4 linked regions of the Nothobranchius furzeri genome follow. The protein of the gene in region 2 purifies or fractionates together with the protein of the main gene of each other region. This does not show direct contact. Links are inferred from orthologs where the notes say so. Each region holds a gene or a part of one and is shown on either strand. Other genes may lie near its edges.

Region 1 (7,484 bases), on a different chromosome or scaffold from region 2:
GACCCCCTGAAAAGAAATCCTTACAGAACCGGGTCACGCTGTGGAGCTGGATTTCACGCTGTAATGCTGTCTGTTAGGGCTGTAGCGAAGCCTCGATGACGTCGACGGCTCGATTCTAAAACTTTGTCGACGTCAGATCCGGTAGTCAACGCACCACGTCCACTTGCTGCATCCCCAGGGGTTTGTAAATAGAAGAGGAATCTGCCTGTTTTTCCTCTAGTTGGCCCTCTTCTCCGCCTTCACTAACATCTCCGCCAAATACCGAAGACCCGGAACAATGTCCGTCCGCTACGAGATTCTTTTCCTGTTTTGCCCGCCTTCGTCTCCCGGCAACGGACAACTACTTCCGGGGTCAGATGCGCTGCTTCGTCTCTATCGCAGATGTAGAAAATCACCGGGAGCGTTTCTCCCTTCATAAAGGAGCTTCTTTCAGACATGAGGAGAGCTGTTTTGGTGGTAGCAGTCTCTCCTCCGTGCTGGTCTGTTTGCTGCTGGGTATTTTTGGTTTATTTAAACTTGGTAACTTGAACTTAACATTGGTAAAGCTACTGTTAGCATATTCGCTAACAGCTTCTTGTGTTTGTATAAGCTGTTACGTTTTGGTTTAGAGTTAATCTTTTTTGTGGTGTAGATCTCCCTTTTATTACATTTAGAGTTTTGTGGGTTTTCGGTTTAGTTTAAAACATCACCTTGAGTTTGGTTTAACCACCCAGTTTAGAGTTTGGACCTTTGGAGATCCTTATTTTGGTCCAGAACCCAGTAATCTTTGCCCAGTGGGACATCCCTACTTATTCGTACTTTGTTTTAATTCCCCACAGGCAGAATTAGTTTTATTATTCCCAACCTGTGGATGGAAAGATTTAAGTTTTTTTGTAGTTGTAAATAAACCTGATCATCATTTAAACTTTAAAATCCCGTGTTATTGTCCCTTCCTTTTTGCACACGAGCCAAACTCCCCAGGAAGAGTCGTAACACCACTCGCCTCACGCTCATAAGTGACCAAAACAAAGCAGCATAGAGACACCCCCACAGAGCCACCGCAACCCACTACACTACACCTTCTCACCATACTAACCCGATATGGAACACTAAACCCGAACTACTTTCCTAATAACACAAACTAAACTACAATATCCAACAGCCAAACTAACACTAAATAAGTATGTGTAACACTAAAAGCTATGCTAAAGATTAGGATATGCTAATGCTATATGCTAATGCTGAACTACTGCTAACCGTCTTACACTCGCTTGCAAATCCAACTTCCAACTCGCCACAAGGCGTGGCCGAGACTCTCGATGCTTTCATAACTTTGACACAGAGCTGCTACGTAGTACTCTACTGGTTTACGTAGTATCTTTCTCTTTAGTCATTGGCTAAAGTGTATTCAAAATGACTCAAACTCTATGTTTAAAGCTGACGGTGGCGCTATAGTATTTAGGCAGAATTTTTAAAGAAAAGGCACCAAAATGCTAAAATAATGAATACACACATTTAAAACACTATTGGACACTCATTTATACAGTTCATCAGCAAAAAAAAGTTAACTGACGTTACTTGCTCTTTAAGACTGCTGCACACACAAAAAAGACTGCTGCTTGGTGGGCCCCCTTGTGGCTGTGGGTGCAATGATAATCCGGCCTTGATTATCAATAACTAGTATAAGCACATTACATTTATCCCTGTCCTTGTCTTCCTCGTGAAATAAATGAACGTTAATCTTACCCGGTAAAAACATGTTCGCTGCTAGTCCACTTGACGGGCAGTTCATCTCTGTCCTCGGTCTCCATCAAAGTTATTAAAAAAATCAAAACTAGTTGAGTTTACATCCTTGTCTGTTAGTGCAGCCAACAACACAGCAAGCTAAAACCATTTTACTATCAAATCAACTAAATAAAAGCGATAAAAGGCTACAAACTAGCTTGTTTTGACTAGCTTTACTGCAGTTTCAACGGGTGTAAACAATCTTTTTGCCGTCCATCATGGTGAAGGGGGAGGTCACATGAGTGGCGTGACGTCACGTGCAAAGGGTCAATTGCTGGTAGGAGCTTCAGAGTGTGTGTATGCTCCTAAGGGTAGAAATTGTATTATTCCAGAACTAAATCCCGGTAGCATATTCATCGGTAACATATGTCCTTTATTGAGGGATAAAGCCACAAATCAATGTATTAGACAAATCATTCAAAGAGATATTGTTTCCAAACATGCAGCTGTATTTTACTGGAACAATATTTACAATGATATAGACTGGAAAAACACTTGGATTCTACCAAGAAAATTTATTATAACTAATAAGATAAGAGAGGTTTCTTTTAAGTTGATCCACAGATGTTATCCGGTAAAGACATATCTGGTTAAACGTAAGAAAAATATTGATACTCTTTGTACTTTTTGCAGCAATGCAGAGGAAACAATATGTCATTTATTTTGGGAATGCACTTATACACATGTATTTTGAATTGATCTAAATAATTTTATAAACACCAAAATTGATCCCTCTTGTAAATTGAAGTTTCACCATATTCTATTTGGCCTCTCACATACCGATAAAATTATTTCAGGAAAAAAAAATATTATTAATCTTCTGATCATTTTTGCCAAATTTCACATACATTGTACAAAATTCTCTCAACAGCGTCCAAACATATTTGCTTTTAAAGCCCTGTTTTCCAATTATCTGAAGAATCTTAATAACAGTACTAACTCCAAAGCGTGTAAAACACTAGAGCTGTGCCGAATGTATAATTTCACTTGTTTTACTTGTTTATTTGTACCTTGAGCATTTTATTTATTTATTTATTTTTATTTCAAATTTTTATCCAGTTATTTTGTTAATCTGTTTTCTCCTAAAGTATACCTTTTTGTTTAAGTATACATAACTTGTTCAACTTGTTATTACAAGATGTGGAATGTTTATACCCTTTCTATATTCTACAATGCCATGTATGTTTGTTATTCAAATGTCTAAATGAATAAAAAATAATAATAAAATAAAAAAGTGCTGACGAAATGAATGAATGAATAAATAAATAAATAAATAAAAGGAGCTTCAGAGCGTAGGGGGCGAGGGCTTCCGCTGCAGAACGTGTCCTGCGTCACTCGTTCACGTCGTGTTGATTTAGAACCGAGAGTTTATTTATTTATAACTTGACGTAAGGGCGCTAAATCTCAAATAAGCTGCAAATAAAATGTGGACTTCTAAGATCATATTGATGAAGTTACACACATAATAGGTCCGATTCCATTTGTCTTCAGCACAATAAATGTGTTAGGTGTGCGTCAGTTTACGTAAACAAAGTAAGCCCTTGGCTAAATTAGGCTAAATGACACGTTAGCTTAACCGGTGTAGCTAGCTAAATATTAGCGATTTCGAGCAGTTTACTACTTTCCACGAAGAAAAGATCGCAGAACGCAAAATTGTTGTGTTGAATGTGTTGCGGCAAGTGGTGCCTGTTTTAATTCTCAATTCAATAAGAGTCATACGAAGCCAGTTTTTAGCTTAGCATCCCAGTGAAGAGTGGCTATTAACGGTCGTATGTGCTCATTTAGCTTTGGCTAGTTGGCTATGCTAGCATTGTTTGGGAACAGCTCGGACTGCTGTAGTCATTTGCTTTCTTGCCATTGTTTATTATTTGTGACTATAGTAAAGTTTGCATCGTGGGATAATGGCACCTCGCGTACAACTGGAGAAAGCGGCTTGGCGTTGGGTGGAATCGGTAAAACCAGAAGAAATCAAGCAAGAACACATAGAGCTAGCATACCGCATCAACCTCCCGGCCTGCAAGAGAGGAGCCTGCAGGTACTTTAACATTTTTAACACGATCGTTGCGCTTCGCTGCCAGCAAAAACACATTATTGACCATTTCAGTGACCAGCCTCTTATAACGCTGCAAAGACACTAGCCTCGGTTTTCAGTTGTGGTGCTGACAGCACTGCCTAATGCTTACTGGCAGCCTCATAAACAGTAAAAAAAGTTAGAAGTGCCACGTTTATGTGCTGCAGTGCTGTGCTGTTGTTTAGCACCGTGGTGCTTCAGTACCACATCCTTTTGAAACAGAAGCCTTGTTTAAAGTGGCTATGATGACCAGGACTCATTTTCCCCTAGGAGGAATTGCAGAGGGAATCCCAACTGTCTTGTTGGAATTGGTGAACAGGCATGGCTTGGGGAGATAGATGAAAACGTTTTCCATAATATTGATGATCCAAATTCAGAACGGCGGGACAAGGTACTTCTTTCTACTATCTGCTCACTCAGCTAGTGTTTCTTAGGTGTTAATACCACCATTGTTCTATCATCTAGACTAGAGCTGATACCTTAATTCTCCCTGTCTGTCTGTGTGTCTTTATAGAACACCTTTGTTGGTCTGACCAACCTTGGAGCAACATGCTACGTCAACACATTCCTGCAAGTATGGTTCCATAACTTGGAGCTTCGAAGAAGCCTTTACCAGTTCCACAATTCCCGAGCAGAGGAACACAACATTCAATCTGGTATAACTACAACTGTATCTGGGTGTGACCTTTGTTGTGACTTTTTCCAGGTTTTAACCCCAAGAATTAACAGCATCCACCTCAGATACGTGGATTTTCAGAGAGAACCAAAGGCAAATTCCACGTTACACTAGTCATTTTAATTTTAGTAGCTTTAGTTGTACTATATATGTATATATATATATATCTATCCATATATATATATATATATATATATATATATATATATAGATAGATATATATATATCTATATATATATATATATACCGTAAATCCTCTAATACAGGCCTGTATTCAATTAACGGCTGGGTCTCATATTTTGGCCGGTGTCGGAGTCGGCGGAGGTGAATAATGGCCGGTCTCTTATTGTGGCCGGGTGGAATGTGGTAACAAGCAAGTACGGGGGGCGGTTGTGTCATCGTCTCACTTTTGATTTGCCAGTGATAGACCGCGAGGGTAACTTTAACCATGCGGAGACGAAGAGGAGGCGAAAATTTGATATCAAGTTCAAAGAGAACGTGCTGATTATGCTGCAGAACACTGGGGAGCAGTAGGGGTTGTATGAACTAGTGACTAGTCGACTTCACTATAGTGACTTTTTATGCCTGTCATCGACTAGTCGCTGTCACGTGATAATGACCGGCAAGATGCAGCCCTCGGAAAAGACAGCAGCCTGCTGTCAGCAGGTGACAAGCTCCTGCGCATCGGGGGGGGGGGGGGGGGGGGGGGGCAACACGCTGTGCCAGAGCGTCGGTACTGACACGCGATCGTTCATGTCGGTTCATTTCCTTTAATGTTTTCTGTCTTTTATTTGCGCCTGATGTGTTTCGCTGCTGTGGAGCGGGGCGCATCACCTTGTCCTCCGGTGACGAACCGATCACTGATGCGGCCGCCAAGCAGCGAGCACTCCGCTGTTTTTGCGGACGGTAGATCTGCGTCCTGAGCACGGCCACAGTAACATTATCAAATTAGGTGTCGCCACCTCAAAAACTAATTTAACACGCGATTGTTCATATCGGTTCATTTCCTTTTATGTTTTCTGTTTTTTATTTGCACCTGATGCATTTCACTGTGGAGCGGGGCACATCACCTTGTCCTCCGGTGACGCACCGATCACTGATGCGGCCGGCAAGCAGCGAGCACTCCGCTGTTTTTGCGGTCGGTAGATCTTTTAGAACTGCAGTTCAAAGGTAACTCATAAGGTGAATATAAATGAACCCAGGTAGCAGTTTTTCTTTAGGATTGAGAGGAGATGCAGGAAGATAATAAACAGGCAGGACAGAAAAATAGTCAAATAAAAACACGTTAGTTTTTGTACCTGGTGGTTGCAACAAACATACACCATGGACGGTAATCAGAGGTGAGGAACAGAAAATGAAATAATTATTTTAATGTTTAGAGCAGCAGGAACTCTGAGAGGCTGCAGGCACATCAGTGAGTTTGCTGCCGCTGCGCAGGGGGAGGGGGGAGAGGGCTGAAGCAGAAACTACCGTTGTTAAAAGAAATGTGTTTAACTTTGAAAATGTGGGCGCAATTTTAATTGTCAAAAACTCCAGCGAACCATTAGCTCATTTTGCTCAAATAGAAATAGAGGCCTGCCTCTAATTCTGGTCCTCCTTCCAATAAAGGCCTGGAGCTTGGTGAGCTTGAGTCAAATACATGCCCGGGCCTGTATTAGAGGATTTATGGTATATATATATATATATATATATATATATATATATATAGAGAGAGAGAGAGAGAGAGAGAGAGAGAGAGAGAGAGAGAGAGAGAGAGGGAGAGAGGAGAGAGAGAGAGAGAGAGAGAGAGAGAGAGAGAGAGAGAGAGAGAGAGAGAGAGAGAGAGAGACTTAGTTTTTGAACTCTGAATTAAACCAACTATTCAATCTTAATTTTGTACACTGCTCAGTTTCACAATCAAACATATAACCAAAGTAAATTTAACAAGTTAATTATCTGACCAAGTATTAAATATAAAGCAGGTAAAAATAAGTCAATGTCAGTTGACAGTTTGTGTAAAGCAGTGGTGTCCAGTTCTGCCACATGTGATTTACAGTGATTAACAGGTTTCAGCAGAGTTAGAACCTGTAATTCAGCCACTGAATCAGGCATGTCGAAGACAACGAAACCGCGCTGCTCTCCAGGACGAGTGTTGGACACCACTGGTGAAGGGCATCATGATCTCAGAGAAGTGCTATTCAGTTCCAGGCCTCAAGGGCCGGTATTCAACACGTTTTGTGGTTTCTCTGGTCCAGCACACTAGATTCTTCTTTAATCTAGGCAGGCTGGACGCGTCAGGGACACATCAAAAGGGTCCCCGCATCCGCAGTCACTTCGCTAGCCACATTGTACTTGTTGGACAGCACATGCTTCACCCTCCACAAGGCCTCAACCAGAAACCTCAAGAACATCCTCTTACCCCTCACAACCACCACACCCACTCCCTCACCCCCACCTCCAGTTGACAGAGACAGAGTACAAGGTCTAGATGCACCAGCCCGTACCCCCACATGACGCACCGCCTCATCAGCAGACACCTTATGCTCAGCCTGAAACTGCCCCACCTCCACCGCAGTCCTATATGACGCACAAGCCCTAAAAGCTGCTTGATACTCCCACCACAATTACAACAGTGGGTTAAGCCTGGCGGCTTTGGCGGGGGGGGGGGGGGGGGGGGGGTGTTGCGCATTCCGTCCCGCAGTGCTCCTCTGTGAGAGCGGGGGGGGGTGGTTGCACACGTTCCGCTGCTGTTTCTCACCAGTATCAGCTGATGGAGGGCTCTAGTTTTGCTGCGCCGTTCGTGTCAGCGGATACGGTCGGGTCAGGGAGGGGGGCGGGGCATGACGCTTAGCCTGGCGGGTGGGCAAGCAAAGCCTGGCGAGCCGCCAGGCTTATAGAGCCACTGGAGGAAACCCTGGAGTAGTTTATGATTTTTAAAACAGTTTCAGGCCCAAAATGGGACACTTGACAGGTGTGATGCTGACATTGTGGATG
Region 2 (7,583 bases):
CTAAAGTGAAGAATAATTTATGGAATTATTCATGTCAGCAGCAGGCAAATTCTCATGTATGACTTTCCAATGATTTGATGTGTACCAACTTCAGCTATGAGGGGTCTGACTTTTATTGCTGTACTTTAAAAGAAAACATATTATGACCTTCCTTATCAAGTTCTCATAGCTCTATGGCTGAAACAAAACCTTTTAATGAAGTTATTTTCACTAGATCCCTCTCACATGAGACAATTTCAGCAGTTTTATCCATGACCTTTTCAGTACCTTCCAGAATAAGTCATTTCAAGGCCCTGTCGCTTAAAGAAAACAAGCTAGAGCTGACCATGCCCACCCATCACCCACTCAGACATTCGGGAGGGGCTCGGGGTAGAGCCACTGTTCAACCAACAGCAGCTCATAGGGTTGTGTTGAAAAAAAAAATCGATTCTCATAAAAATTCATGAGGATCAATTAGTACGTCCAAAGATGGATTTACCCAGTTTAAAGACCACTGAGAACTGTTTAAAACAGCTACAAAAGATTATTGGAATGGGACTTTAAGCACCAAAGATTCTTGAAATTTGAATCAATACCCAGCTCTACATGAGAGGTCATTCTTTGCCAATTTCCCCATTTGTGACATCACAAGAAGGACTTTTTGAAACTGCTTGTTTTAGAAACATATTTTCTGAAATCAAACACTGACAGAAAACAGATGGACGGGTTTTTATTCCCACAAATGGAGTGTTTATAGAGGGAGTAGACATTCATATGGCAGCACAAGGATGCAAAAGATGAGTTTTGCATAATATGTCATAATATGTAAGGCAAGTTCTGAATGTTAATATTCAATCTATTTGAAATAAAACAAAAGAAAATGTTAGACCTTAATTCAAAATATCCACTTTATTTTATCTATGTAAAAATATAAATAACTTTAGCCTCAATAAAGTTTAATGGTTACAACTGAAATCACTAATGAACCAAAATGTTAATCTGATCATGAAAAATAAAGCATTAAAAAAATCTGCCTACAGCTAAATGAAAGAAAATAACCTTCAACAGTCAGGAGAAGTCTAAAAATGGATAATACATTATTTTATATACCAAAGAGTCTAAAACTACCCAAGGAGCTGATGTGGAGTCCATCTCATGTTGAGTTTCTGGTCGTATACACCCTCTCATCTAAATACAACTGAAAAAAACTACAAGACAGCTACAATCTAAACTTTGTTGTATAGTTTGTGGATCTATGACATTTCTAGAAGTTGCTCTTTTTATACAATTGTCTCTGAAACCAAGTAAAATTATATTTAAAAACTATGCTTGGTTTACATTAGTGAACTAAGCTCACACTGATCTATAAATGGTAGACTTTGAACAATTAAAGGTCTGGAACGCTCTTTTAGTCATTACATTTGAAGTGGTTACTTATACTTCTCCATTAGCTGTGGAGTGTTGCAAAGAAATTCCTCACCAGTACAACAGAGGGTTGGTGGTTAGGGTAGGGTATTGCACTTTTCTGGGGTATCCTGTCACCATTACAGTCCTGTATCCAGTCCAAGATAGTGTATTTACTATGGAGTTTATATTGTGTTATTTTTGTATTTCAGATTCCTTTTAACATAGACAAATTTGTCCCTCATATTTCGCCACCTCTTTGTGTGTTCGCCACCTTTAAACCCACGTTTCCTGTCATTTCCATCCACAAATAAAACGGTTGCTTTTTACTCCTCTAGTCACGGGTGAATAAAACACTCACATTTTCAGAGATTTTCCACAAGTTATTCTTCAAGCTGCTCTGTGTCTGCTGCTAGATATCTTCGGCACTCTTTATTTTTTGAAGGACAAATGGAGGTGCTGTTGACAAATTTTAAAGAAATGGCCAATCACAAGCTTTACTCGCCTCAGACCAATCTTGAAACGGAGGCATTTGGAGTCAGTCATCCATGCTTTTATTACCTCTCGCCTGGACTGTGTAAACGCCCTCCTAGTTGGTGCTCCGGTCTCTGCCCTGAATCGGCTGCAGGTCGTCGAGAACGCTGCTGCCAGGTTCTTGACAAACATGCACTAACGTAGCTATATTACCCCAGTCCTGACACATCTTCACTGGCACCCTGTCATTTTCCGAGTACAGTTTAAGGTATTGATTTTTGTCTTTAAAGCACTCAACGAAGAAGAAGCTACAATGATGTTCTGCTGAGCTGTGGTGGCCTCATGGAGGGGGCCATCGTCTAGCACAATGCTGCTAACCACTCAAACATTCTCCCTCTCCTGATAATAACGTTTTGCTTTCCTTGACGTTGGATGTGCTACTGCTAGTTTATCCGTTTAATTATAGATCCACTAGGATAAATACAATAAAGTTTATCTCTCACCAAATAGAATATTTACTAAGAAATCACAATGTAACTATAGACACATTACTGTCTGTCTGTCTGTGTGTGTGTGTGTGTGTGTGTGTGTGTGTGTGTGTGTGTGTGTGTGTGTGTGTGTGTGTGTGTTATACTGAGCCAGGATTCTCTGGAGGTTTCTTCCTGTTAAAAGGGAGTTTTCCTCTCCACTGTCGCTTTATGCTTGCTTATTATGAGGATTGCTGTAAAGTCACTAGTCAGTGACTTGATGCAATTTGCTGGGTTCCTTATATAGGAAACATTATTTCTGATTGGCTTAATGAACTGACCTGAATTGGAATGTTTATTATGTGAAGTGCCTTGAGAAGACTCTTGTCGTGATTTGGCGCTATATAAATAAACTTGAATTGAACGACCTGTCACCTCCTAATCTCTCTGACCTGCTCACTCCCTATGTACCCACGCGCACGTTGAGGTCGGCTGGCCTCCTGCTGCTTTGCACTCCCCCGATGCGTTACAAATCATGGGGTGAACGAGCATTTGTACATGCTGCCCCAAAGCTGTGAAACTCTACCTATTACAGTTCGACAGGCTCCATCATTGGCGGTTTTTAAATCTCGTTTAAACACCCACTTCTACGATTTGGCTTTTACGCCGTGAGTCGTTTTGTTTTATTGTATTATTGTTTTGATGTGTTCTTAGTATTCCTCATGTTTTATTTGCTTTTATTGATCGGCATTTTTATCCTCTGTTGTTGCTGCTTTGATGGGTCGTGATTTGGTCCAGCCTGTGCAGCACTTTGGGCAGCTCCCATGCTGCGTTTTAAATGTGCTATATAAACAAACTATGGTATGGTAAGCTTGTAGTTTCTTGTCTTGTTCAACAGATGTTTAAATGGTAAATGGCCTGTATTTGTATAGCGCCTTCTTAGGGTCATACAACCCCCCCCCCCCCCCCCCCCCCCCCCCAAGGCATTTCACAACACAATCAGTCATTCACAAACTGGTGGGGATGAGCTACGATGTAGCCACAGATGCCCTGGGGTGCACTGACAGAAGCGGGGCTGTGGAGCACTGGCGTCACCGATCCCTCTGACCACCACAAGCAGGCAAGGTAGGTTAAGTGTCTTGCCCAAGGACACAATGACAGTGACAAACTGAGCGGGGCTTGAACCTGCAAACTTCCAATTACTGGACAACACGCTCTACCTCCTGAGCTACTGCTGTGTTTAGAAAAGTGGGCTCGACTCTGTCCGTCCTTGGCTGCCTGTTGGAAAGCCCTCTCAACAATGGATAATGGTGTTGCGTGTTTCCGTACTGACGCAGATGGAAAAGTATAAATTTGGCTTAGGCCTTCCAAATCGTGAGCCATGGTGGGTGAGTCCATGGATGTTAAGAGTCAGTGTAATGTAGATCTGTCAGGCTTTTAAAAACCTAGCATTTCACCATCTATTTTCTATCAGATGCCAATGCAGGAGATAGGTGTAGGAGACTATTTTCATGTTCAGCCTGCATGAAAAACTCTGAGTGACCCATTGTAATCAGAAATACGATTTTAAAAAATGGTTTCCAGTGTTCCACACCTTTAATAACACAATACAATACAATTATTGATGTCAAGTTGTTGTTATTGTTGTTGTTAGCCTCAGGGGCAACATGCCGATTATCACTTGTAAGTCGCTTTGGACAAAAGCGTCTGCTAAATACATAAACATAAACAATACATATCTTCCATCATAAGCTGATTAAGTTGTTCAAAATTAGTTTGCACATATGAGAACCAAGATTTACTCTTTTACAGTCATAAAGACAAAATAAAAGCTAAGAAATCTACCAAATGAGGACCAGCTGTACCACTTTGATGAGTGGAAGATCCGAATTCAGGTGTGTGTGATCACATCAAATGGAAAAATCCGCTAGAATGCTTTTAATCATTAGCAGGAACAAACATATTGTCTCTCACCTGAAGTCAGGGATGCCTGCTGAGGTGCTAATTCCAGCTCCAGAGTGGACAACCAAGTACTGAGATTCTTTAATCAGCTGAGCGAGGGCTTCCACTTTTGCTTTTAGCTCCTCCGGATTATCAAAACTCTGGCACAGATCAAAAACACACAATTAAACAATTAGCAAGGGGGCGACTATTGTATACAACCGTGCCAGATGTGTGGCAACAACAAAAGAACACACCATCATCTATCCTCCACCGTGCTTCATAGTGTTTATGTTAAATAACAAAGAGGCTAACACAGCACAGACGGTCTGCTCTACAACACCGTCTTTATATTATTACTCTTAAACGAACCAAACAAAAATGCATTCTCAATGAAAGCGACGCTACGTTGCTAATTTAACTAGCTCTTTGAAAAGCTCTCGGAGCGATACAACACCTAAATGTTACCTCAGGTAGACCGCAAACACCCTTATCCGCGTAAGGCGATAGTCCTGCAGCGTAGTTCACAGACATGACTGTAACTGTTTATTTTTTTTTTCTTTGTTTTACAAACTGTTCTTGTTTTATCTGTTGCGTATTTCTTCCAGCCAGGTTTAGGGTGCTTCGTTTGAATGACGACATCACTGTGCGCCGACACATGCTGCATTCAAGAACTTCAGGAATTAAAATACCTCAACGTGCGCTCCACCTTCGTTCAGACCAGTTTAGACTTGTGGTAGAGATTAGATTAGACCGTACAGCTGTTAGAAATTGAGTAAAAATTTAAATCCAAATTACACAATGAAACTGAATATATTAGAATAAAAAGTCTGATAATAAAAACTGAAAAATCCCACAGAACAAAACGGTTCGGTGCCTTTTAAAAATGGGATTTAACCTGATCAGACATTCCACAAACAAGGACATTTATTCTCAAACATATCTGTAAAATGACTACATTTAGACTAAAACTAAACAAAAATCTTCCATCTTCACCTGCAGAACAACTTTTAAAAAATCATTTAAATGACTCCAAGCTTTAAAAACAGTATGCATTTTTCTTTCAAATTAATCTTTATTTTTCATTTTTAAATATTTGAGAAAAAAAAAACAGACAGAAAAGTAAAACCATATGGTGATCATTCATACGTGTGCATATTGGATTATGGTTCCTGTAGAAGCTGTGAACTGACACTGAAGACCACCGAAAGAGGAAAGGAGTTGCTCGTCTCAATTGTTTTGTCGCGTATAATTTTATCCTGAGTAATTCAATATGATGTCCCAATTAAAGTAAATAAAACAATAATGCTTACTGAAGACAAAATTACACATAGGACATCCACACACTCTAAAAACAAAATCAAAACCACTCTTACAAAAAAATAAATCAATAAAGGGGGCTAACATTTCATTTTCAGTTGTAGGGCTGAAGAAGTTTGATCTCGGTAGTACACACCGACACAAGACTACCTATTCCAGTGCATGCCGAACATCTAACAAAGAAAAACTAAAATCATAGGGCCTGCAAGAAAGCAAAAAGAGAAACATCTGGCAAAGCGTATTAAAATTTAATTTACACTCTGCTTTAGTTCTTCGGGTCCATCAGGCGGCTCAGAGAGCAACGCTGAGGAGAAATACAATTCTAATCAATAATTAGTTCTGCCCCTCTAACCTTCAACAACTTGATTATTACACAACTTTAATAACAAGTTCATTCAAAAAAACACAACCCCACACTGAGTGACAGAAAAACACATCCAAGATAAAAACCCAGCAGAGATCAATTTCATGTTTTAGTAAGAATGTTCATATGAGGAGCTGACTCAGCAGACTCCAGCAGACGGGACGGCCCTCCATTGCCACGAGTCTCTCATGACGTTGGGAAACAGTCCACCAATTTAAAAAATAAAAATAAAAAGACAAAAAGCTTTCAAAGAAGTTCTGGCATGCATGAGAACTTTGAACATACTGTCCATGAAAACTCCTCCATGTCCTGCCAATCAAAGACAGAAACTGTAAAATATGGGACACTTGCAGTCCTTTGTCCATCTTGAAGTCTGTAAAAGTTTCCACCACGAGGCGGACAACCAGTGAGACACCCCCAGTTACAATTAGAGAAATACAGCTATGCAAAACAGGTGAAGTGATGGTTTAAGAGTTTGCACCAGTTCAGTGATCATGAAACCCAACCAAAAATATTTCATACTAAAACCAGGACTGGATTTTGTGAGCAAAGTAAGCTTCAGTGTGATGAAAAGTTCTCGAAGTTGGAAAAAAAAATTGGTGGCTGTGCTGGTGCAAAAGTGACCACAGTCTGACCCTCTCGCAACGAGGCATCAGTTTTAACCTCTGAGGCTGAAGGAAAAAAGCTCTTGTACTGATTTAGAAGGAAGCTTCCAATCTCTCTTGGTTGCAAACCAAGAATATCTGGCAACCCAGGAAGAGTTAAAGGATGAGCATTCGTCAGCTAGGTTGGGTTTTCTGACAACAAGAATGTCACGACTCCTCATTGCCCGAGTCATCCTCGTCATAGCAACAGTCGCCGTCTCCCCCCTCCACGTCATCGTCTTCATAGTAATAGTCATAGAAGAGGTCAGAGCCTTCGTCTGGCGGCGGGGCGCGTGTACGAACGCAGTATTCAGCTAGCGTGGTGGGCACCTTCACGCCATCTCGCTCTGCTTCTGCCTTTGTGGCCAGCACCTGTTTCCTGAAGGGATTTGTTTTATGAAGACTGAATTACTTTTGTGTGGATGGTGTGGCTTTGAAAATCTTTTAGAAATATTTGAGGTTTGTCTTAAATAACATTACACTAATGTTTACCTGATGATCTCTACATATTCCCGGTCCTTGCCTTTGCTGTCTCTCCATTTCCGGTACATGACAGAGGCGTCCACGTTGGCAGGGGAGAAGGTGTTGGGTTCATTTAGCAGCGAGATCACGCTCAGCAAAATGGTCCTAGAAGCAAAAAACAAAGGCAACTTAGTATAGAACCATAAGAAAACGACTTTAGGTGAATTAAAAAGTTTTAAACACATAAAAAATATTTTAATGTCACAAGCCTAAATTACTTATTTCATCTACTATTTTATTAGAATAAACAATGAAGCACATATTACATTAGGAACTTAAAGCTAATTGATAAAACATGTATTAAAAAAACCTGTCAGACCCATGTGCTACCACCCTACCAGAATCAGAATCAGAATAGGTTTATTGCCATTTTCAGTGAACAAACAATTCACAAACTAGGAACTTGCTTCGGCACTAATGTGCTACATATAACATGAATAATAAGATTAAAAATAGAATAAAATAGAA
Region 3 (7,398 bases), on a different chromosome or scaffold from region 2:
CTCCATGAAAGATCCTGTGAACTGTTCTTTGTCTCACCCTTCACCTAAGACCAATTTGTCATGGGAGACCCTACCAGGGGCACAAAGTGCCCCAGACAACATAGCTCCTAGGATCATTAGGGCACTCAAACTCCTCCATCACGATAAGGTGACGGTTCAAGGAGGAGTGGAGCAGTATCATTAAATTAAATCAAATATAAAAACATATTTAAAAAAATTTCTTTTACTCTTTTTTTTCTTTTGGGACCAGATCCATTCTAATTCGGTTTAATATCACGTCGAGTTTATTCCAGTTAAAAACCTCGGGATGGTCCAGTTCAGTTTGAGTGAGACTGAGCTGATCAGTTCTGTGATCATAATAAATGGTCCATCCTGAGCATGAATGGAGACCTTATGTAACAAGAACTGACTCAGGAGAGGAGGTGGTCTGTAGGACGACACAAGAGGACAGAAACAAAAGGAACTGGGATTCTGCTGCTCAGCATATTTAATTTACAGCAGACAGCGTCCAAAGGGACCTTTTCTTGTTTAGAAGAGCGTCATAGATGTTTTTTTTAATAATATATTCTACCTACAGAGATTTTTGTGTTATCTGAAATGCTTTTATTTCTATTTGTTCTCTTTTTATTTCTTAATAACTTGTCCCATGTAGTTTTGTATTCCACGTACTCCTGAGCTTTTCTGGTCCCAGTGTGTATTCACACCCATTATTGATGTGGAATTTATGACCTCCATATAAATACTCTGCTTGTTTTGTTAGTCATGTTGTTTACTTAAGCCGGTGTTCTGCTCTGGTCCAGATAGTCCAGGTTTCTGCAGAACTTAGGTTACACTTTCTGCTTTGGTTACTTTGAATTGTTCTTTGGTCTTCCATTTAGGATTTCTAAAGGTTTCTCTCCATGCAGCTGCTTCAGAACTCTTCCTCATCACAACTGCTTTTCACATTAAAATAATTAGTGAAGCCTCGAATTTGGTTGATCATTTTGCACCATCTCTGATCAGAACGCAAACGAAAAAGTCTTAAAAATTGTGATAAGAAAGCAAAGACAGGGATTAAACACTGTGTGTCAAGCTAAACTCTTTTTGACATTGTAATGTGATGTGAGTAATTAAAAGTTTGCACTGAACACTTATTTGTAACATCAGAAAATCCTGGCTGCATGAATTGAAGGTGTGTCTATGAAAATCGGCTTGAATGAGCCAATTCAACATGAGAACACGCTGTTCAGATCTGACTGCCATTTAAGGTTGTTCATGTCTTCAGTCTGTCTGTTCAACGTTGTTGCACTGAGAGGTTTCATTTTCCCTGGCTAAGGCTGCTCGTGGTCCCCTGGGAGACAGCAGAGGGAGATCCGGAGCACCCTGTTACCATCTCCACCCGCTCATCCAGACTCCAGCGTCAGGAATGTGAAACAACCCCAGGGCCCATGAAGCCTGAAGTCCCTCCTCTCTGCCACAGCAGGGAAAAAATAATGAGTTCATCATGCTGTTGAAGAGAAGGTTTGGTGATTTAACACATTAAAATCTCATTCAGGTCATAAAGTCATAGGTGTGGTTTTAAGGAGAATTTTAAGAATTTAACAAAAACTACGAAATAAAAAATAAAAAATACAGGTGAGTTAAACATTTGAAGTGGCACCTTTTAGATTTGATGTTTGAATTTTTTTTAAAGAACCATCATCTGTGTTCTGGCTAACTTTTTTAGGATTGTCAATAATTACAGCTGGATTAATTAGTGATTAATAGATAATAGCTGATTAGATAGATTTCTTTCCAGTTTCCATAAAAAAAGCACATTAGCAAAACATTTGTACTACACATGAATCTAATACTTAAGATATCATATGTGAGGAATGACTCTGGAGGATTTCTTTTCCAGCTCCACAATATTCAATTATTTCATTTTGAATTTCTTTTTTCCTAAATAATTATTACAAGTTATAAAAGTTTCTAAAAGGACAAATTTCCCAGGCAGTCTATTGACCCCTCCAAAGTTAACAGAGCTAAGAACAGAAACAAACTCAAGAAATAATAAAAAAAACAACAATTTTTTAATGAAAGAAACAAACTTAAAAAAATCACGTTATGACATTCACAATGAATATTATGACACAGAGAAGGGGGAATCTGAAGATTTCAGTACCAACATAAATATTGTTCAATCAATGTTGTCTCAAATGTTCCATGTTAGGTGTTTAAAAAGTTGTCCAAATATTTATACATTTGTAACTCTTTTGCTTTTCATTTTAGTTGACATAACGTCTGAATTGTTTTGTTTCGAGACAGAATCAGCATAAATCAGTCTAATCTCAGATAAAACGCGCTTGCATCAATCTTCCACAAATTACATTAGCTCAAATGTTGGCCAAACACTTTTGTCGCCTCCAAGTGGAGAAAATGTAACAGTGCATATTGACTACGGGAGACGCCAGTTCTTAAAACCATCGCACCTTAAACCGTTACTCAAACTTCCATTTTCATCCGGGATACTCCTTGGCGCTTTATTTAATTGGTTGCTGACTAAAACCTTAATCTTATTGGCCAGAGAAGCTCTGAGAGGCGGGACATCATGTTCAGTTGCGATTGCGAGGGTGAAACCACCGGTATCCGGGTACTCCAGCACGTTGTGAAGCCGCTAGTTAACAGGCAGCTGCTACGCTGGTTAAAAAAAGTCACATTATTTCAAAGCAACGTTTTCATTTTAATAGTTTGATCAGTTGGTGAGTTGTTTCGTTCCTATTTATGCTATCCTATTTTCGAAAAAGCAAATTTTCATTTCGCCGCGCTTATTTGATTAACTGGGTTGGCGTCCCGGTCTCCGTCTATTTTCTGGCCTTGCGATGATGTTAGCTGGTTTTGGCCATTGTAGCTAAGCTATTACATAGGTGTTATAACTGTGCAGTTCGCTTAATTATTAAATTATTTAAAACACAAGGCTGTTACTGAAAGTTTGAAATTGTAACTTATTTGAAAATAATTATTAATCCCCAAGTTTCGCTTTTGCTATTTCAGGAAATAGCCACCGCCCTTTCAGTCGTGACTCCCGTTTTCTTTCTTTACAATATTACTTTCCACATTTGGAATTGTATGATCGAACCGAATTTGGTAGTGTTTCGTTGGTTTTATTTGTGTATAAACTACCACCTTGGGTGTGTGGTCGCTAAAAGCGAAAGGTTAGACCAGGGACCGTGCGGGACACGTGCTGGGGCTCCTTCCGTAACCTAGCAGCAGACGGGTCTCTGTTCAGCTTTGAGGCCGTGAGCTGCTCCAGCTGTCGTTGTTCAGCTCCGTGGTGTGGCCGGGCGTCGTGCCATGTGTGCTCAGGTTATATCTGGTAACGGCCGCCGGACTGGCCTTTAGTCCCTGAGGCGAGCGGGGGCCTCCATGACTCCATCACGGCTGGCACGGCGTGGCCTTTGTCTGCTTACAGTTCGAGCACCTTTACTCAAGACCGTGACTTAAGATAATAAACACAAGTCCAAGCTTATCCTCTGCGCGCATCGTGGCCCGGTGGCACATTCTGATCTCGATGGATTGCTTTGCTTGTTTCTTTAACTCGGTTTCATTTCATGATGGATGGGATTTCGCTGGTTGTCTTTATGAGGATGCTCATTTCTGGTTCTGAATGATCTGATAGAAGAAGGATTAGACCGTAGCTTCTATGTGACTAACGTAAATTCTCAGGTTTGATTACCTGTTCTTTATTTGCCTCCTGCCTGAGCAGAAACAGGTTCTCTCACCAACTCATTCATCAAATGTTGCCATAATGTGCTGCATAACGCTAGGTGCCAAAATTATTGTTGCAGGATTGTTAAAAACTAAATGAAGACAATAGTTTTTGATGACTATTAGTTATCAATGTTTACATTAAAACATTTTACAGTTAAAAATATTGTCTTTGATCAGGAACCTGAGCTACAAGTTTTTATTTCATTTTTACAAATTGATGTAAATATATCAAGACTAATGATTTCACTCTCTGTAGTCTGTGGAAGTAGCTGCCTTATGAATTTCTCCACTGTCGGATTAATGAAGTTATTTTATTCTGATTCTTGGATCAAATCACCAGTTTCTTTGTCCCTACTTGGAATCACAGTCCGTCATTTTCTTTGTCAGTGACACTTTTCTTATTTGCAGAGATTTCCAGTTGACCAAAGAAATGGTGATGGAGAAGCCAAGTGCCCAGCTGGTCGGGCGAGAGTTTGTCCGACAGTATTACACACTCCTGAACCAGGCCCCCGACTACCTGCACAGGTACGGAAGTCAGCTGCTTGTGGAGGGTTTGATTTTGAAGTTTAAATGGTTTTATGATAAATTGTTAAATATTTGTACAAACAACTAGTTTGTCTTTTTGTTCAGGTTTTACGGAAAGAACTCCTCCTATGTGCATGGTGGCCTGGACAGCAACGGCAAACCAGTAGAGGCGGTTTATGGACAATCTGTAAGTGGGCTTCACCCAGTTAGAGGCATTTTCCAGCGGCAATACTTGGTGCAACTCGGGAGGGTTCGGTTTGGTCTGATTGCTTTTGTCCAACGGCGCGTTTTGGTATTTTTCCCCTGCTTTCCCTCTACTTTTCAGTCCCTCTGTTTTGGTTCCAAGAGCTGAACCGGTATTTCGACTGTCGGCCACTGATTGGCTAGGGGGCGGAGTCACTGGTTGCTCCAGAGCCTTCTGTCTGCTGTCTGAAACCATAAAACTGAAGAGTGTTCAACATCACCTTTATTTTTGTGCAGAGTTGTTTCTGTGGAGCATGCAGGTCACCTCACAGTGTGTACTGATGACCTTGTGCTATTTTTGTCGCGTAAAGATCCCTGCACAAGCAAATGCTGTGGTCCCCCCCATCCGCTATGAGGGGTGCACCCACTTTTTGTCTCTGAGCAGGCAAGGAAAGCCAAGTACTCTGTGGTGAGCCGAGTTAACCCACGCTGCACTGAGCTGTTTTAGCCTGAGTAGTGCTGTTGGAAAAGGCCTGTTAGGTGTGTCTCATAGTCTCATGAATCTAGAATGTGAAATATTCATGAATATATTTTCTTTTCAAGAGTCATTGTTACACACTTGTTTTTTTCTTCCAGAAACTAAGTTTTCTAGGTAGTTTAACATTCTGATGAATGTTTATCAGTACTTTCTGATTTATTAATCCTCACGTAAATTGTTTTATTCTAATGCTTGTTAAAATAACCATTATCGCTCTTGTCATGTAGTTGGATAATTGAGAAATGATTGATTGCTGTTAAATGCCCAAATTAAATCTTCAGTTCGTTAAATCTTTTGAATTTTTTTTTTATCAGGAGATCCATAAAAGAGTGATGGCTTTGAGTTTCCGAGACTGCCACACTAAGATCAGACATGTGGACGCTCACGCTACTCTGAACGAAGGCGTGGTGGTGCAGGTGATGGGCGAGCTGTCTAATAACATGCAGCCCATGAGGAAGTTCATGCAGACCTTCGTTCTGGCACCAGAGGTTGGTATTAGATTATTAATATATTTTTTTCATTGATCTGATCAGTTTATTCACATGCATGTTTTTCCAGGGTACGGTGGCAAATAAATTCTACGTCCACAACGACGTGTTTCGTTACCAAGACGAGGTGTTTGGTGACTCTGACTCTGAGCCTCCAGAAGGTGAGAAACTGTTTTGTTTTATGACCTAAACATTTTTCTCTCTGAAATTGGTGTAATGTAGCAAGTTTAAAAGAGGTTTAAAAAACATTTTTTTAATATTTCTGTTCATAATCGGTCACTTTGGGTTTTTCAAGCAGGCTGAACATGAAAATAGTCTCCTACACCAATCTGCTGCATTAGCTTCTGACGGTGAAGCTCTAGGGTTAGAAAGTCCTTGACGTATCTGCGTCACACTGTCACTTGGCATTCATGGACTCCCTTCCAGTTTTCAATCCAGCGATCACATGTAGTTCAAGCAGAGCAAGAAACCAAAGAGGAAGAACTTTCATGCCAAAGCACAAAGGCAAAACGTGGAGCATTGTATCTTGTAAGTCCCTAAACAGCAATGGTAATTAAGATGGTTAATGGACAGTGTCAACCTTCTTTTATGTTTATAAAAACGTAACATTTAAAGCTAATATGAATATTTAGAATGGACTTTGGTGAGATTTGTTAATGACAAAGGTCAAGTTTGTGAACACAGAATTTGATAGTAAACAAGTAAAAATATTGCACACTCTGCCTTTAACATCCACCATTTTCCATTTTTTGAGATCTATAGAAACTGTATATTGATGGTTTACTGGAGCAGATTATTTGTAACAATGGTTAAACTGGTCCATGGGGATGGGTCTAAGGTAGAGAAATAATCCCTCTAAAACATTCATTTAAAATCAGTTTATTATTCCATTGATCAGGGTATCCGCGGCGTCTTAAAAGTCATGAATTTGATGAAAGGAAAATTAAGACCCTTAAATGTCTTAAATCGATTTAGTGAAGTCTTAAATTTGGTTGCTAACTTGAAAAAAATGTTGGCGAAAATTGCCGTTTATGAAACCAAATGCGTTCATGGGAATGAAAGACTTTTTGTTTTAGGGAAGGTGAGTCTGATCGGGTTTCAGTCGCTCTTTATAAGAATCTGTTTCAGAAAAATGAGGAGTGTTCATCTTCTTCACAAACCCATCTTTGTTAGTGGGTCACGAGTCGCCATTTGACCAATCACAGTCATTGACTACGTTTACATGCAGCCAATATCCGGGTTATGATCGGGTTAAGATAGGTATTCGGGTTTCTGAGTTGATCAGAATAACCCGTTTACAAGCATAAATAGAAAGAGTTACCCCTAACTTGCATAACCCGATTTAAATGCGGACATTGGGGTAGCATCAGGACGTATGGACTACGTCAAGACGCAATATCCGTCATTTCCGGTTCATTCTTTTCGGTTACCTTCTTGTATATTTCGCTGTCTCTGTACTTTTGGCCGTCAACAAAAGACAATGTTCATACTTTTCACCAGACCGATGAAGACAGAGGTTTCCTCATCACTCCAAAAGTGTGGTGCTGTGCCGCGACTCGCCATGTTGCTCCCAACTTGTTGTTTACCTCCGGTGTTCTGGCGCATACAAGATGTGTCGCTACTCAAAAGACCAAGATTCCTTGCGAACAGAGCATGCGCAGAACACACACTTTGATGGGGATATCCCGGTATGCGTTTACACGACCAAACATTCGGGTTAGAAAAGGGTTACCCCAGGTATAGTAACTGGGTTTTATAAAACCCGGTTATGAGCATGTCCAGGTTTTTGGCAGTGTTTACATGGACCTGCGGAACCGGGTTATTGTGAATATTCGGGTTTTTAAAGGGTTACTGGCTGCATGTAAACGCACTCACAGAGACAGCTAGGGAAAAACACAGCGGTAGCCGGTACCACGGCGCCGCTACTACTGTCGC
Region 4 (7,690 bases), on a different chromosome or scaffold from region 2:
GCACTGCTGCTGCTGCTCTAAACTAATTGTCTAAAGATAAACCCAAAACGACTCTTAAATAATACAATACTCAGCTCAAAGGCAATAAAACCCAACAGAAAGGTGTTTAGCATCGCAGCAAGAAGCAGCCAGTTCTCAAGTCAGAGTGGGTTAGCCAGAGCAGTGGCGCGCCTAGGAAATTTTCATAGTGGGGGCCAGTGAAAAAAATTTGGGGTGTCCCCCCCGAATTGGTCTCTCTGGTAACTCTGGGAGAGTTTAGCCTGTAGCTGTGCATTGCTCCTTCATTCAATTTCAACAAAAAACAAAAGGCCTATGTATCCAGAACATTTACCTCAAATATAAGAAACACAAACATGAAAGAAAACAACATTTCAAAAATTAATTTCATTTTTTTTTTCAAAATGTATTGTTTTAGGATTTTAAAAAAGCTTTTCAAGTTGCTTGATGCTCTCTCAACAAAATTATCCACAATTTTTTTTGCAAATGGTGAGCCTCAATGACATGCACACGTGTGTGTATATACATACATACATACATACATACATACATACATACATATATGTATGTATATATATATATATATATATATATATATATATATATATATATATATATATATATATATATATAGGTGATTTATCAAATGAATTATTTATTAAAATAAAATAAAATTATTTAGTAAAATTAATTTCCTTTTTTGCTTTAACATTCATGTCTTGATTAAAGAGGATGATTGTTTGATTTGTGTGATTTATTAAGGGGCGAGGACCTTTTATGAGAGGGCCAACAAATTAATTTATCAGGTATGGCCATCCATGGCCCCCATGCCACCCTCGGGTGCGCCACTGAACCAACTACGTCATAAATACGTTTTATTTATTTGCCAAAAAAGGACACAAAGCTAGGTTTTAACAATATGTTTCGAAAAATGCATGGGACGTTGAAAATAAAATTTAAAGGTGATGAATCTGAGAATTGTAGAAATTACAATAACTAACTTCAATGCTTTTAAGAGGAAACAAGTAAAATTCTTTATTAGTAGAAAACGTTGCCTTTGTCGAACAAAACAGATTGAAACTGATACAATAACTTATTTTACCACATTACGTAGCGAAGAAATGTAAATAATTCATTTGGCATCCAAGAGGGTCAAAACTGATTTTGTATAAAGATGAATGCACATAAACTCACATTAGCATTTAAAGGACATGTGGCCTTAATTCTACTTTGGATCTGTTCAATAGTTCATCTTACTCCAACAAGATGGCTCAAAAAGTAAAAAAATGCTGGTTTACCGAGCAGCTGTTGAAGGTTAGCACCCAAACGTGAGCACCCAAACATATGAATGTTTTAGTCATGTTCACAACATTGTACAATGTTTTGTTAGGCGGTGCGGCACAAGTCTAATTTACTGGATTACAAACTAAACTTGGAAAATTAATTTGCATTTGTGTGTTTTTTATGAACCAATGTCAAAACCAGAACCATTCATCACTCTGCACAGGTGTTGCTTGCTCGGGGATGCAGCTGAATACCTGATCGTACATGAGCTGCCGATGGAGTAAATCATACATGAGCTGATGGAGTAAGTTGGAGGAGTCGGGTTGTGATGATGAAGTGGTGAACCAGGAGGCCTCAGCCTCTTTCAGGGTCTGGTTAAACGCTCCAGCTCAGCGGGCCTGTGTGACCTGCGCACCGCGCCGCTGGTATGTGGGCTACCTGTCTGAGCCCCACAAAGGGGCAACACCGGAGTCTTTCTGTTTTTACTTTTAGGCACTCAGTGAGTATTATGGTCTGTCACCAGAGGACTTCACTTCAGCTCCCCTAGAGACCATCAGACTGTTTTTTTTTTTTTTACCTTTTTGTCTATTTAGGTGTTGCATATTATGGGATGTATGCTGCCACTGCTGGAGTATTATGGTCTGTCATGGAGAGCGGGAGGGGGGTGTCACCATGACAACGGGGTTGCTAAGGGGGGGGGGTGGGACTACTAGTGGAAAGGGGAAGGAGTGTGCATGCTATGAGTCTAGTGCACGCATGTCTAGCACCTAGCACTGGCAGTGTACGCGTGTGCGCGCGAATGGTGAAGGGGGGTGGGGGCAGGCTGAGTATTATGGTCTGTCCGTTGCGAGGTAACTATGCAGAGTCCTGTGCGAGTGTGGGAGGGGGGTGGATTATTATGGGATGCCTGTCCCCTTTGTGTGTTTGTGAGGATGTTAGCTAAGCGCTGCCTGTTAAGGTAGGGGGGAAGGAGAAGTGGGGGACGGAGCCGCGTGTTTCGGGTCATTAAGACAAGAACTGCTTGTTACTGCTAACACCACACAGGGATTAATGAATGGACACCAAAGGCCGACAACAGGAGCGGGAACAGTTTAATTTGTGTTGATTCTCGCACCGAGGGAGAACTCACCTCACGCCGGGACTACACGCGCAGTACAGTAAGTTTCCAGTGTGTGACGGTGGAAATTTCAAAGCTTAAACTTTTCTCTAGTGACAAGACGGCTCGCGTTTGCGGTTCCTTTTGAGGCTGTCGTTGAAAGCCACACTTTACTCCCGTGTGGGGCTCTCTACCTGTAAATCAGCTAATGTTAATGTCAAAGCGGGTAAAATCTTTTTAATTTAACTTGCTTGAGAGGACAGGTGGATAATTGGACGGCATGTAAATAACAAACAAGGAAGTTTCGTGCCTGTGCAATGTATTGTTATTTTTATTTATTTTTTTCTCTTGCACCCAGACCCCCCCCCCCCCCGCCTCCTCTCCCTTCCTGGACACCCCCGGTCCATTATCCACCAGTCCCACGTCATTTTCCCTCCTCCCTCGCTGACCGAGGAGCAAGGTTTACGGAGGATTTATTCGGACACCAAGAATTCAAATAGAAACGCTGGGAACATGTCTTGCAGCGAGGATGAGAGGGAGGACTTTGGAGCCGATGACGAGCACTCACTTCTTCACGGTAAGCTCGCCTGCTTTCCTCCCCTCCTGAAGAAGGTCCATCTCTGTGTAACTTGAGCTCGCCTTCAACGCGATGCTAGCGTTAGCCCAAGCTAGCGAGGAGTAGTCGGCTCGGGTCACTCGCCATGATAGATTAGTTAGCTAACTTGGACAGCAGAGTGTTCGGAGTTTTGTTTTTATTTTTTAATTTGTTTTCGTGTAACCCAGCCCACCAGCGTGTCCTCGCCACGGTGGGCGTGAACTGTCAAAGTTTCAACTACAAGTTTCAACCTGCTGTTGTGGCATTTACGCTGTGTATGTGTGCGCGCGTGCTCGGACATTTGCCAGTCGTGCCACGGCGCGCGCGCGGTCTCCTTGTTTTTGTTTTTTTTCTTCCCTCCCCTCTGGTCTGCAGCAGCGGTGCTTTCTGTCCGTCTGTACTCTGCCGGTAACCGTGTCTCTTTACAGACGAGGACGAGCCGGAGGATGCTGTCTCTGACGCAGAAGAGGCACCCAAGTCAAAGAAGAAGAAGAAAGCCAAAAAGAGCAACCGGGAGAGCAGGAGCAGCAAGAGGCAGAGACCCATCCGGGAGGCGAGTTTACCGCTCTGATAAAGTTTTATACATCCAAATAAGCTCTTTTATAAGTTTAGGCCAAAGGTCAAGGTACTGTAGAAGGCATTTAGTCTGTTAAAACTCTATATTTAATACAAAAATAACAAAAATATGTTAAGCTATACAAAGTTATGATGGTGAGCCCCCCCCCCTACACATTCTGCTGTGTTTTATTTTTTGTCACACTTAAATGTTGTAAATAACATTTCAGTGTCAGACAAACGGTCTAATGTCTCAATCATGCTTGAAGGAAGGTTACATTGACACAGATTTTCTAATCAGGCAGCTGGGGGCTGTTAGTTTTTCTCCATTTGACATGGACAAAGAGGGAATTAGTCTTTTTTTTAAATGTGTGAGCCCAGAGCCGGCACAAGGTGACTGCTTGGGGTCCCCAAACAGCACCCAGATGACTTGAAATAATGTTTTAATAACTTTAAATAATACAAATGTGACAGTGTGTGTCCTGTCACAGTGTCCTGATTGATCATGCGCCCTGGCTACTTGGCCAGTGGGATGTCCCTTTGGCTGACTGGTTAGAGCGTATGACTCTCACCCGGGAGTCTGAGGATCGAATCCCGCCTGGGCCCTCGTTTCTCCACCGTGCCACACAAAGTAAATAATGCTAATCCCAGAAAAATAATTAAATATTACTTTCTGTTAACTCATTCACTGCCAGTGACGGCAAAAGACGTCATTTGCATGTTTTTACTGTGTGGGCGTCGGAACGAGCCCCCGCACCGTGAGAACAAACATCTCAGCTCTAAAGCCGATCTTTATCCGCATACGTCACACGTCACATGATCAGGAAGCAGCAAATCCATGTGGTAGGAGATCGTTTTGGGCCGCTGCTGTAAAAAAAAGTGAGGCGCGAACCGGAAAAGCTTCTGCCGATCACAAGTCAACAACGGATTATGAAAGAACGGATAACGCTCAAAACGCGCGGATTCTTCCTGATGTAAGAGGTGAGTTGGTAGTTTTGGCGTCGACATCACCCTAGGGCGCAACATTCTCTGACTCTTTAAAAAAAACTGTAAAAACGGTGAGAAACGCTGGCAGCAAAGGAGTTAAGGATGCACGTTTTCCAAAATGTCTTTAACCGGCTATTGGTGCCCCTTAACAGTTGATAGCCGGTTTATCAGAAACCCTAACTTTAACCAATATATTTGAAATATGTTTATTAATATACCACATTTAAACAACACTGCATTGGGAAATGCTAAAGTAAGCATTTTTGTTGATTCATTACTCCTGTAAAGTTAAAATTAATAGCCATCAAAACACTGATGTGATGTGATCTGTCAGTTTGCCCCAGGACAGCTGTGGCTACATCGTAGCTCATCCCCACCAGCGTGTGTATGGGTGAATGAATGACTGTGTTGTGAAGTGCCTTGGGGGGTTGTAGAGCCCTAAGAAGGCGCTTCGCAAATACAAGCCATTTTTTAAAAATCGTAAGCTGCTTACAAATTATGCTAATGATAGGATGGTACACACATAGTGTGGCCTAGGAATGATGAATCATCTGCTGTTGACTTGTTGGTATGAAGGCCTCCAAGGAAATCCTGCTCAGGGCCCCACAAAGGCTTGGGCAGGTCCTGTGTGAGCCCACGGGGAAGCAGAGTCTGTACTGGCATTTGTTATTCAACACTGGCCGGCAAAAACTCCAGAGTTTGTGATGGGATATTAGCCAGTAAACAGGAGCAACCCAGAAGTTATTTGTTGTACTGCTGAAGCCCGGACTACACTGCATTTTTTGGCCTTCCTAGACAAATCCCTCATTGTGAAGAGAATTGTAACAAAAAATGGTCAGTGTGAGGGTGATTTGCAAGTCTGTGGCCGTCCAGTGTAACCGGCTCTGCAACAGCTTAATGAGCATTCTTACAAAGTCAGCTTGCAGCAGTTTTCAAGCTTTGCTTCAACCTCATCTGTGCCCCAGACAAGCTAGTTCCCAAAGTCAGAGACTCTCTTGGTCAGCTTGCTTCTCACACCAAACCTTCTGTCAGGAATCTTGGCGTGACCTTTGACCCAGCTCTCACCCTGGATTCTCATGTCAGTTCTCTTGTTCGCTCTTCCTTCTTCCATCTCAGGAACGTTGCTAAGCTGAGTTCCATTCTGTCCCGCACTGAACTTGAGACAGTCCTCCACACCTTCATCTCCTCACGCTTAGACTACTGTAACTCTCTTTTCACGTGTCTGAGCAGAACCTCCCTGAACCGTCTACAGGTGGTTCAGAACGCCTGTGCTCGGCTTCTGACCAAGTCCTCCAAACACACCCACATCACCCCGCTTCTCCTCCAGCTTCACTGGCTGCCAGTCAACTTCAGGGTTCATTTCAAGATCCTGGTTCTGGTCTATAGGGCCTTACATGGACAAGCACCATCTTACATTGGTGATCTTCTTAGTCCCTACACCCCCAGCAGGTCCCTGAGGTCCAGTGATCAAAGCCTACTGGTTGTGCAGCACCAGGCTAAAGGTCAAAGGTGACAGATCATTTGCTGCTGTGGCCCCCAGACTCTGGAACTCTCCCCCTGAGCCTGAGATCAGTGGACTCAGTGGTCTCCTTTAAAAAGCAGCTGAAGACACCTGTTCAAGCTGGCTTTTGTATGACCTTCTTCACCTCTCTCTCTTTATTCTGCTCTCCCCACCTATTCCACCTTTTTCAGGATCCACTGATTTCCCTCTTTCCTGTTCACACTCTCTTTCTAAACATTTATTTAAATCACAGTTGCCTATTTTTGCTCATTTTAAATATATTTTTAAACATTTTCTAAATGCTTTTTTATATTTTTACATTTTTTTGCTTTTGTGAAGCGCCTCGTGATTTTTATCTTGAGAGGCGCTATAGAAATAATACTTTCTTCTTCTTCTTCTCACAACTCCTGTCTGCAATTGACCAATGAAAATACAGCCATGGAGTCACGCGAACAGCTCGTGATGAGAGTACAATACAGGGTTTTTCCTGTCTCAAATTGAGGCAGAGGTGGTACCATCCTGACCATGCGCCAGCACATGCATACTCTGTGCATTCAACTGCCTCACTTTTTAATGGCAAAATATTATAAAAGACTCAATAATGTGCATTAGATTGGTGTTTAGTTCCCTTTTTCCCATCTGATATTTATAGTTAAAAAATTTTAAAAATTTTGACCTACATTTCAGTAACATTTTAGGTTTGTTTTAATAACACTCGTCTTAGTCAAAATAACACATAAGTATCTCCAGTAAAATATAATGCATTTCATTAACATGCATTTGTAATGGAAATGGTAATAACATTTAATTTCTGCTGCTAACAATCTAATGGTGGCATGTCTATTATGTACGGGTTGGCAATAATCCTGTTCAAATTATGTTCAAAGATAGAAGCGTTTGTGAATTATATATTACAACGGCTTGTAGGGCTGGGCGATATGGCCTCAAATCTATATTGCGATATAGTCTGAAGCATGTGCGGTAACAATATATATTGCGATATATTTTTTCCTCTGTTTATATATGTCAAAATGACATGCTTTTAAATATCCTCATGTGGCAAATATATGCCACATGAGGCATATAGGCCTCCTCCTCCGCCCACTCCATGCTTGCAGTCACTGCCATTCTGTTGTCCCAATGTCAGCAGGGTGCACCTCTTAGTGACGTGTGTTATCGCGGTATTGCGATATAGCCAAAAACTCTTATTACCCAATTTTATATCGTTTCTATCTTATATCGCTTATATTGCCCACCCCTAACGGCTTGCCATACTTCATGCGTCAGCAGTAATGTGACTCGTATCTGCAGCGGTTCTGATCCATAGCGCTGCAGGTGCAGAATAAACAGGATGGTGGGGACTTTTCGTCCGCTTGTAGAGTTTAGTCATTCTTAGTTTTGCCATCATCATATATTTTTTGTGCGCAACTTGGTCGTGAAACTGCTATCCATTAGCCTTAGCGTTAGCCAATCTGCGTATAGCTGCACTTTTGATCCCAAACTTTGGACCGGTTCTGCCTTTGGGGGGGGGTAACGTAACGTGTCCTGCTAGAGCGAGATGTGCAGTGTGGCTCACAAATCTTGCACCGTACATTATGCCACCTCTAGAGTTCTCACAGCGGAGTGACCGGGCAGGGGTGTGTGGCTGAGGCAATGACGCCAATAAGGAGGCGTC

The links.
Region 1: the proteins of sirt6 (region 2) and usp48 purify together in Homo sapiens (affinity purification with mass spectrometry; 3 studies listed by BioGRID, with this or other methods). This does not show direct contact. The link is inferred for Nothobranchius furzeri from reciprocal best matches to the Homo sapiens genes SIRT6 and USP48.
Region 3: the proteins of sirt6 (region 2) and g3bp1 purify together in Homo sapiens (affinity purification with mass spectrometry; 3 studies listed by BioGRID and IntAct, with this or other methods). This does not show direct contact. The link is inferred for Nothobranchius furzeri from reciprocal best matches to the Homo sapiens genes SIRT6 and G3BP1.
Region 4: the proteins of sirt6 (region 2) and chd4b purify together in Homo sapiens (affinity purification with mass spectrometry; 3 studies listed by BioGRID, with this or other methods). This does not show direct contact. The link is inferred for Nothobranchius furzeri from reciprocal best matches to the Homo sapiens genes SIRT6 and CHD4.

Annotation. Positions count from the first base shown.
Region 1 is NC_091743.1:4,789,873-4,797,356, reverse strand, and holds the start of usp48 (ubiquitin carboxyl-terminal hydrolase 48), read left to right. Parts: upstream 1-3,150; 5' UTR 3,151-3,665; coding exon 3,666-3,799; intron 3,800-4,105; coding exon 4,106-4,226; intron 4,227-4,349; coding exon 4,350-4,491; intron 4,492-7,484.
Region 2 is NC_091751.1:57,911,597-57,919,179, reverse strand, and holds the start of sirt6 (NAD-dependent protein deacylase sirtuin-6), read right to left. Parts: upstream 4,874-7,583; 5' UTR 4,800-4,873; coding exon 4,734-4,799; intron 4,427-4,733; coding exon 4,299-4,426; intron 1-4,298. Other genes in the region: cdc34b (cell division cycle 34 homolog (S. cerevisiae) b), read right to left, coding at 6,762-6,972, 7,086-7,220. UniProt on the Homo sapiens protein: NAD-dependent protein deacetylase, deacylase and mono-ADP-ribosyltransferase that plays an essential role in DNA damage repair, telomere maintenance, metabolic homeostasis, inflammation, tumorigenesis and aging.
Region 3 is NC_091741.1:69,281,001-69,288,398, reverse strand, and holds the start of g3bp1 (ras GTPase-activating protein-binding protein 1), read left to right. Parts: upstream 1-2,585; 5' UTR 2,586-2,720; intron 2,721-4,137; 5' UTR 4,138-4,159; coding exon 4,160-4,254; intron 4,255-4,359; coding exon 4,360-4,441; intron 4,442-5,289; coding exon 5,290-5,463; intron 5,464-5,533; coding exon 5,534-5,624; intron 5,625-7,398. UniProt on the Homo sapiens protein: Protein involved in various processes, such as stress granule formation and innate immunity. Plays an essential role in stress granule formation.
Region 4 is NC_091745.1:74,030,136-74,037,825, reverse strand, and holds the start of chd4b (chromodomain-helicase-DNA-binding protein 4), read left to right. Parts: upstream 1-2,741; 5' UTR 2,742-2,890; coding exon 2,891-2,954; intron 2,955-3,400; coding exon 3,401-3,525; intron 3,526-7,690. UniProt on the Homo sapiens protein: ATP-dependent chromatin-remodeling factor that binds and distorts nucleosomal DNA. Acts as a component of the histone deacetylase NuRD complex which participates in the remodeling of chromatin.